2 linked regions of the Drosophila melanogaster genome follow. The protein of the gene in region 1 interacts with the protein of each later gene in a pairwise test. Each region holds a gene or a part of one and is shown on either strand. Other genes may lie near its edges. The genes, in order: Klf15 and CrebA.

Region 1 (3,850 bases):
TGGCGTTGGGCCAAATGTTGGAGCATATCATCCTTGAAAACGGTGGAAATGCATTTTTCTATGGGACATTGTGCTGGCAGCTGACATAGATGGTTCAGTGTAAGTTTCGTTTGTTTTTCGGGCTCGGTACTGGAGAGGCCAATTAGTCTGAGTGGCTTATTTCGGTCCATATTTCTCGAATTGTGTTGAATGTTTTAAGTATATAAATATAATGTACGCTAATAAATTTTTTGAAGCTATGCAAACGGCCTACTGTTGTTGAAACATCACTGCTTAGTTGGATATAATTGCTCTGCCGCGTAAAATTAGCCTTTTTCATTATATTAATAAATTCGATTTAACTTTTGTAATGAATTAACTTCATGCGTGTAACCCTTTTTCTTTTTATTAAATCATATGCTCCTTTACTCTGCTAAATGAGTTTATCAATGGTTTATGATTTCCGTATTTAAATCAGCAAACACATTTCATTTATGTAAAACAGAGCAGCAAGTAATTATTACCATCAATATTCCCATTCGAAATAAAACTCTTGATAATTTTCCTAACAAAAGAAGGAATACTTCAGCTCTATTTTATGGATATGTTTCCCATGCGAACTAATCTTAAGTGATAAAAAAAAAAAAAATAGTACAAAACGTTAAAACTAACTCATCCATCGTGTCCTTGGAATGTGGTCATAACTGATTCTTTCGCTTTCGACCTGGTCGCACGGCATACAGATCGTCGGAGATCAGGGATCTGCCAGCTCTGGAGGCGGCCAGAAGACGTCTTTCGTGCACCTTACGATGCTTGGTGAGGTGATCCGACCTGGCGAAGCACTTGGAACAGTAGTCACATTTGTACGGCTTCACGCCGGAATGGGAGCGCTTGTGGCGGGCCAGTTCATCGGATCGGGAGAACCGCCAGACGCAATCTGGCCAACTGCAGACGTAGGGCTTCTCGCCTAGATGCCGCCTCAAATGGGCCTTCAGATGCGCGGGCTTGGCGTAGATCTTTTCGCAATTGCCAAAGGTGCACAGGTAACCCCGTTCGCCGGCGGCATTTTCACTCATCTGGAGGGCAGAAGGTGGGGCAACAGCTTCAGCTGGACTGGCGGAATCACTGCTGCCGGGCGAGGAAGACGATCGATCGGGAACGAAAATCTCTGAATGTGGTGGCCCCGACAGCCGCAGATTGCTGTTGCTCTCCTCCAGAAAGTCCGCACAGTTATCCGTGCACAGGGGAGTTCGTTCCGGCAGAAAGTCCACCAGGTCCGGAATCTCTACGTAGTTATCCAGCAGTCGCTGCTCCCAATCACTTAAGTCCGGCGGACATACGGTCAGGTCATTGAAGTCGATGAACAATGAAGGATCCTCCACGTGGGGCAGACCCACCTGGATATTCCCATTAGTATTTGTATTATTATTACTGTCCAATGTGATGATGCCATAATAATCCGACTCCTCGAATTCCAGCTGATTATAGTTGCCACCGGAAAAGCTAGTATCCACATAGGTGCTATCGAATTCCCCAACACTGACTATATTTAGCAGCGCATCGCCGCCGGCCAGTGGCTCCTCTTCCAAGTCGCTGTAAAGCTGCTGGAATCCACCCGTCGCAAAGAAGTCCATGATCGCAAATGAGCGGACTCCAGTCGAGTGTCCAAATATTTATAATATCCACGGACAATCCGGATGAGTGACAGGCGTCGGAAAAGTTGATGAGAGCCATTGAATCTGGTTGGGAATCGCAGGGCATATACCCTAAGTACTTAAAATCATATTGATATGTCATGAAAAGAATGTTTACTTAAATTGTTTCTTTTACAAGTACAATAGTATAGCATACCCTGCGATCTGCCTAGAACAATGGGTATCAAGAGATGCACTCATTGCGATCGTGGCTCGATTGCTTCCAGTGATTGGTGGCCAGGATCCCTTGGGGAATAATTAGCCGGCGAGCAACGTATCTAACGCGCTGCCGGCTTCATTAGTCCGAGACTGAGATAAAGATACATCCATACGTACGTACATATCCATTCGCACCAGATGTTGCGCGCATTGATCGGCGACACATGTGCCCGGGTTTTTGGTGGCCGGGTCCGGGAATCCGCAATGCTATCGAAATCGCTGACGGATGCCGAGTGCCAAGCAGTGTCAGGCCACAGATCGGCTAGCTATATTGCTATATATGTATAGCCGCGCGGCACCTGATCTCCCGCTTTCAGTGCGCCATCTCGCTCTTTTGTTTTTGTTTTGCTCGCCGGACAATCAATACAAATTTGTTATTAATTAATGATTATTACTAGCGAACTAGATATGCCCGGGGGATGGATATGGATATTCCCGGTCGATCATCAGTGTTTCGGTTCCAAGCAAAACAAGTGCGTTTCCTATGTGTGTCAAGTGGAGCCGCAGATATGGTTTTAAATTCACGGAAAGTTATCTGTTTGAAAATATTTTTCTGTTCGAAAATCATTTGGCTTGGCAACGGTCCATTTGCAGCATATGGTCAGTTGGAAAAGGTTGATAGCTAGTCATTTTTTTTTTTTTTTGACAACTCATTTCGTTCATATTTAATACAGACAGTGGTGTGCAATTTACAATTCACTTAAAGTGCATTGTAATGCGCAAGAATGCAGCATTAAAATGTGACCCTGCACGAGCTGTAATATAGTATTCCACCCATTTGCCTTCAACTAGACCCACCCGCCCCCTCGAACGTCTCATTTTCCGAGGCTGTCTGTGCCAGTTTCCAGTTTCCCTTAGCTTTTGCTCCTCGTCTATGCCATTTCCGCATCCTTTTTGGCTGGCAGCCCTTCGGAAATTAACATAAATTTAACGTGCGGCTGGCGTTTAAATTTACTTTCGCCTAATGAAATAATCAGCAGCTGTAAATCCTCATGGGCTGGTATGCCCCCCAACCCACCAATCACGACCAGTTTCACCAGTTTTTGGCGGCCTACGCGTTTTACGCTAATTGATATTGCAAAAATCAAAGGCTGCGCGCCGGCATTAAAGGGATTTAAAGGATATCAACTGGTCTGCGGGTCTGGGACTCGGGACTTGGGATTCTGTATTCCGGATACCGGATTCTGTATTCTCAATTGTGGAGTCTGGCTGTGAGTTCGACTCTGGCACTTTGTAATTACAGCAGGGTATTGCGACTCTGATTTCTGTATATGTGCATAGAATTTCCCTTTGTGTGGCCTCAGTGGAGTGGCAAGGATAACATAAATTAGAATGCTGCCTGCAGGCAGTTCTGGTATTTAGCCGTAGTGCCTGGTCGTCCACTTACTTACAGATTCGTAGGCCAATACAAACATGCACCGGTGGAAACAGGTAGCAGGACATAAAAAGATATATAACTTCGATTGTAAATAAGGTTCGCCTTTGAAACCATTTTGCAGCATATTAATTAAATTCCGAAATATTTGAAATCAAGTGGTTTTTAGATGAGGTTAGTCCGCCCAGCAATTGCAAAAAGGAATTTTCCTGCAGTGTTTTGGGAATGTGTAACCACATCTATCTATCCATCTATCTGCAAATAAATTTCTCCGTTCAAATGTGTGCGTGTGTGTCTGTGTGTGTGCGCACCGCAAGTGTCATAACGGAAATTATGCATACAATTTTACTGTAAATTGCACTCGGCAAAATGTTGTCACCTCAGTTTAATCATAGCACCCAGAACTCGAAACTCCCACTCATTTAAGCCGGACATTTTGAAGCCGTTTGCAAGTATTTACGAAGCAAATCCGAGGACTTAAAGCCGACAACCGGACGATATTATTGCCAAAGTGTCCTCGTTGTCCTGGCAGCAGTCAAATGAGCTAAGCAGTTGTCAGGATATACAAAGTAAGTACATCCAT
Region 2 (5,188 bases), on another chromosome or scaffold:
GTATATACACAAAATTTTGAAACAAGAAGGGAAAGGCTACCCTTGCAAATTTACCATAAACCTCTTAAATTGACACCGAGAGTCAATTGATGTGAAGCCATGGAATCGATCAACTTTGACAAGATCATCTTAACCTTTTTCCCAATTAGAAAGTGTAACGAAATGTTTTTGGAAGTGAGTGCGAACAAAACGCTCTTCTCTATATCGAATACAGCGCACAAATATCTGTGTCATAATTCAGGGAAATCCACTACGACCAAACGAAAGGAGAAATCAATGTACTCAGCGACGAAAAAGAAGGGCGCACCAATGATCTGATCCCTCTCAGAGGCGTCTTGTTGGCCCAGCCAATTTACTATGTGGTGTAAGCCATATTGGGGATTTTCAAATTTGAAATTTTTAAATGAATACAATAAAATCACGTCAACAAACAAGAAATTAGTGGCCGAGAGCTGTGTGTATATTTTCAGCGGGGGTATACATGACGTGCACGGAGCACGGAGCTATAGTCATATACCTATGCCTCTCCATATGTATTACACAAGCGTTTTTGTGAAAACATCGCCGTTGTCATCGTCGTTTGTCTGCGCTGTATCTGTTGCCCGGGCAGCTTTAAACCGGATCTTTGGTTTGAAAGTACATTCACTTTGCGTCGTCGCCGTCGTCGCAGCATTGCAGCAGCAGCAGCAGCAACAGCAGCGACAGCAGCAGCAGCATAAGTCCAGGCCAGGCCCCAAAGATCCCCACAGCCATATCCATATCCATAGGCTCTGGCTCTCAAAGATCTCCGAACAAAACTCTTGGCTCCCAGCTCCGGCAAACAGCCTTCAAATGACTCGGCTTGGCCCGCCTGTGTTGGAATGGCCCGACTCTCTATGGTCTGCACATGTGCATAGTTCAAATAACTTGGTCAAGTTGACAAGATCAACGGAGCGAGTGTTACCAAGCGGCAGCAGCCAAAGTCGGGTCTGGTTGCAGAGCGGGGTACACCCCCCGTCCTATTCCATCGTGCATTCGGGCCAAATCAAATACTCGCAGCAACAACACAAAATCTATAATAAAAAACAGGTTAACAAATGTTGCCGCAACGCTGACGTCGACGCAGCCCATAGCGTCGGAAGAAACTTGTTTTCCTTTCCTATGCGGCTCCGGGTCTCAAATCTCAAATCTCGGGCCCCTGGTCTCCGATCTCCGGTCTCAAAACGACGTCAAAGCCGGCTTACGACAATCAACTTACATTCACTTCTCGAAACCCCAAAGAGCGTGAAAGTTTCACTAAGAGCACGCTTTTCGGGAGAGAGTCGGATACTATCGCATTTGGATTCGGATTCGATGCCGGCTAACCCGCATGTTACACAGTATCAAGGGTAGATTGGTGGCCAAGAACCATGGGAATACAATATTTGAAATGTATAGTACACGGCTTCAGTCTTCAGTTACAACTACCCCAAACACGTTAAGAAGTCAATAAATTCAATTAAACTATAGCAAATGTAACATAAGGTATGTGATTAGTTGACCTTTGGGAACGAAAAGCAACAACCCCAAACGTTTCCCGTAGATTAACGAATCAATAACACTATTAACACAGGATATTAGAAATACGATGTTATTTTGTAGCGATCTTTTCAAATTGAAAGAGTATATTTAGGCCATTTATTGTACCTTTTCTCTTCTCATTTTAATGAGGAAACATCAATTCATCATATCCTTAATTTAAATTTGTTATTTTTTTTATTACAAAAGTATCAATTGTTCGAGGTTTTCTGTATGAAATTCTGAAATTGCCGGCATTATAAGCGCAGAGAGAGAGAGACAAAGAGATAGACGGAAAGAGAGCGCTATACGTGCGGAAGAGAGACAAAGCGTTGTAGCGGAAAAGAGAGCGACTGAGCGGCGGCAGCGACGTCAGCAGAGGACTGACGTTTCGATTCGTTCGTTCGCATTCACAAGAATTTCACCGACATTTAGTTTAGTACCGTTTTTGGCTGCAGTCGCACTACGGACAGTTTATTCTAATTGTGTGCTACCATCCCATACATCCAAACATACAAATATTATTGCTAAAGTTAACGATATTAACTACACATATTAAATGCTATTATACACGGGCCGAGCAAAGCCATTTCTAAAGCGGTTTACTGCCCATTCACACACAAAACACATCAAAAAATTCAATTAAATCAATTGAAATCGTAATCGAGTCCAAAACACAGTACAGCGAAAAGAAAAATCAAATAAACTAAAATTATATGGTTATCAACGTTGAATCTAAACATACATATAATAACTATTTTCTATGAAAATCGAGTGTTTCGTTTCCGAATCGGGAAAAAAGTTAATAATTCAATTAATGTTAACGCCAAATATAATCCGACGAGAAAAGCGCATGCAACAAGTTAAATCCAGCCGACAGTTGTAAACCAAGTTAGATCCGTACACAGATACACCCCAAATACCACAACCAATACGAATGAATGCCCGGTATACACATACAAACGAAAAAGTCACACACACACACACACACGCAGACTATAACAATGTCAAGTGAAAACATTCTCTGGAAGCAACAGGTTTCCCCTTAATAAGTGTTATAAAGAAGCAACCAACAGTCATCACCCAGAACTGTTCTTTACGGAAAAAAAGTAAAGTAAAAAATAAAAGAGAAAGAGAGGTAGAAGAGCGCACGAGGAATAAAGAAGATAAAGTATAAAGAAAGAGAAAGAGCGGAGAAAGAGCCACTTTTCAGTCAGCAAAATCGTATAAAAATAATAGTATAATACCATAAACTACAAAAATTATAAGAAGACAGTTCTTAAGTGGGTTAAAGTAGAAAAATTAGTGTGACTGCAACCGAGTGGAACCGAATTAAACCATACCACACCATCCCCGAACCGCAATAAAAAAAAAACAACTAAAAGAGTTCTTAGAGCGCATCTGACTAGCGCCAACCATGGAATTCTACGATGGCGACCTCAAAGATATATGGGACTCCGACTTAGATCCGGTAAGTGTTCAAATTACCACTCCCGAGCACAATTAAAAATGCGAAAAGCAACTTGTACCCCCATATTATATCAGTCAGAACAGAACCATTGATACTTGAGAGCTTTTATTACAGCAGGTATGCTTGATATGGGCTATACGAGTATGTGAAAGTTAAAGCCGACAACTCGAACGCAACGATAAGAAAATGTCCGAGATATACATTGGTAGCTCTTATATGTATATTATAGCTCACTAAATTTTATGTGGCAATGCCCCAACTAAACTTGGTGAACTCCTTGAACTTCGATCTTTGACTACAGAGACATCTTCAATACGATTATTAAGTCATTTCGGTGTACATTTTAAACATGCAAGAGTCGTGCTTCCACGAAACGAAATTGCATTTTAAAAAATCTAAAGAAAAACACTTTAATGACCCACATTAAGCTTATCAGTTGGGGAGAAAAAACGTGAACTTATTCATGAGCTGAATTCTAAGTATGATGATCGATTTGAGAAAAGGAAAATGAAGAAACGAATTTCGATCTCCAGGGTCCCACGGAATTTAGCCAGTTTTCTTTTCTTTCTCTGCATATTAAGTGGTTCGCATTTATATGTATATGTATGCGATCACCTGAGAGAATACCGATCACCGACAAACTGGCCTACGATCAAACCTGTCCCAAGCCACCTCATAAAAATGTCCGCTCACCGCACCACCAAAATTTCGAATGTAAAAAAAAAAAAAATAACCGTATAGTGAAAAAAACAAACCAGAATCTAATCGAACTGCCCGGCTTCCAGACATCAGACACCGTAATATACAACACACCCAGAATCACAGTTTTGGTTTCATTTTCGTGGAGGACGTTCTTGGATTGCCGAACCCAATGGCATTACTCAATAGAAAAACAAAAAAAAAAAAACTTTGCCAAATAGATACGACCGATACGACCGAATCAAACAAACCCTCTAGTGCCGAAAGGAAAAGGCAGCTTTCAAGGCTTTTTATCTTGGCAGTTACGTGCTCGTTTTGGGAGAAAGACAATTTTTAGTGACTTTTTGTGTTCGAATATATCAATTTACATGGTTTTTTTTGATAAGCGACTGCGACTATATCTGGCATTCAGGAAACATTTCTGTTCATAACTTAGAAGTTTCGCTGTCCTACAAAGTTGTTTTGTCTTGGGTGGCGATAATGATAATTGAAGTTTTCCAAGAAATTAAAAGAAATTTATCATTAGCGAACGATTTCTGTTTCGGTTGTTTTGTCGTCGTAGTTCCATTCACTATCACCCCCGCAACTTGAACTACTCGTCGTACTGCAATCGTGAATTGTTTCAATATAATGAAATGAGTATGTGCCGGGCTGAGCTTCATTTGCGGAGTACTCATAGATGGAGATGCCGTCGTCTATTGCTTATCGCTGCGGAAACAGTAATGAATACATGTCGTCCGCCCGTCCATTCAGCCCAAGTCCGTCCGTTTCACTTGTTCTTGCTGTTGTACACGGTAAAAAAAAAAAACAGATCAAAATCAAATTTAGTAGATACTTACAATAATTGTATCAGTTTCAATTAATAACGTCGTTTTTTTTCGTACTTAGTGATTTTTTCTTAGAAATGGTCCGGGTTCAAGTATAAATAAATAAAATGTTTTTCACTTTGATAAAAATTAGCTTTAAAAAGCAACGGATTCAATACAACAAAAAAATTGTAATACATTTCAACGTAATTTAAAATTTCTGTCGCTTTCTTTATAACGATAAATTTGTATAATATGTTTCATAAATTTTCGCTCTCAACTTTTGCGCGCTGTGTAGAGGAAGCTCTGCTGGGCGAGCACAAAAGAAAAGAATCTATTACAGTTTGGGAGGAGGACACATGTGGAGTTGATAAGAGGCTGCTATCAGCTGGTCTAAATGCAAAGTAATGACTTTTTTCGCCTGCCTGCCTGCCTGCTGCTGCTGCTGCTGCACTTTGCAGCTAGTCAAATAGAGTATGGCTCGTCAGTGTCATTACTATTGGGAGATAATAAATGCGCGCCGGCGACTACTCGACTTGTAGACAATGTAGCCGGAGGGACAGAAATAGGCCCAATGCCCGGGAAAATGCGCGTGCAGTTTTTATTGGTTTTGTTGCATTGCGTTTTTTCCCGCCGTAAGCGGTACAATGTACCCGTACCCGGGGCGTGCGCTCAA

The links.
Region 2: the proteins of Klf15 (region 1) and CrebA interact in a two-hybrid assay, tested with the Drosophila melanogaster proteins (one large-scale study listed by BioGRID).

What each region holds. Positions count from the first base shown.
Region 1 is NC_004354.4:4,769,905-4,773,754, forward strand, and holds Klf15 (Kruppel-like factor 15), read right to left. Parts: upstream 1,685-3,850; 5' UTR 1,614-1,684; coding exon 678-1,613; 3' UTR 653-677; downstream 1-652. Other genes in the region: CG15472 (uncharacterized protein), read right to left, coding at 1-170.
Region 2 is NT_037436.4:15,533,449-15,538,636, forward strand, and holds the start of CrebA (Cyclic-AMP response element binding protein A), read left to right. Parts: upstream 1-1,946; 5' UTR 1,947-2,953; coding exon 2,954-3,007; intron 3,008-5,188. UniProt on the Drosophila melanogaster protein: Transcriptional activator. Binds to fat body-specific enhancers of alcohol dehydrogenase (ADH) and yolk protein genes. BBF-2 may play a role in fat body gene expression. It binds the consensus sequence 5'-T[AC]NACGTAN[TG]C-3'.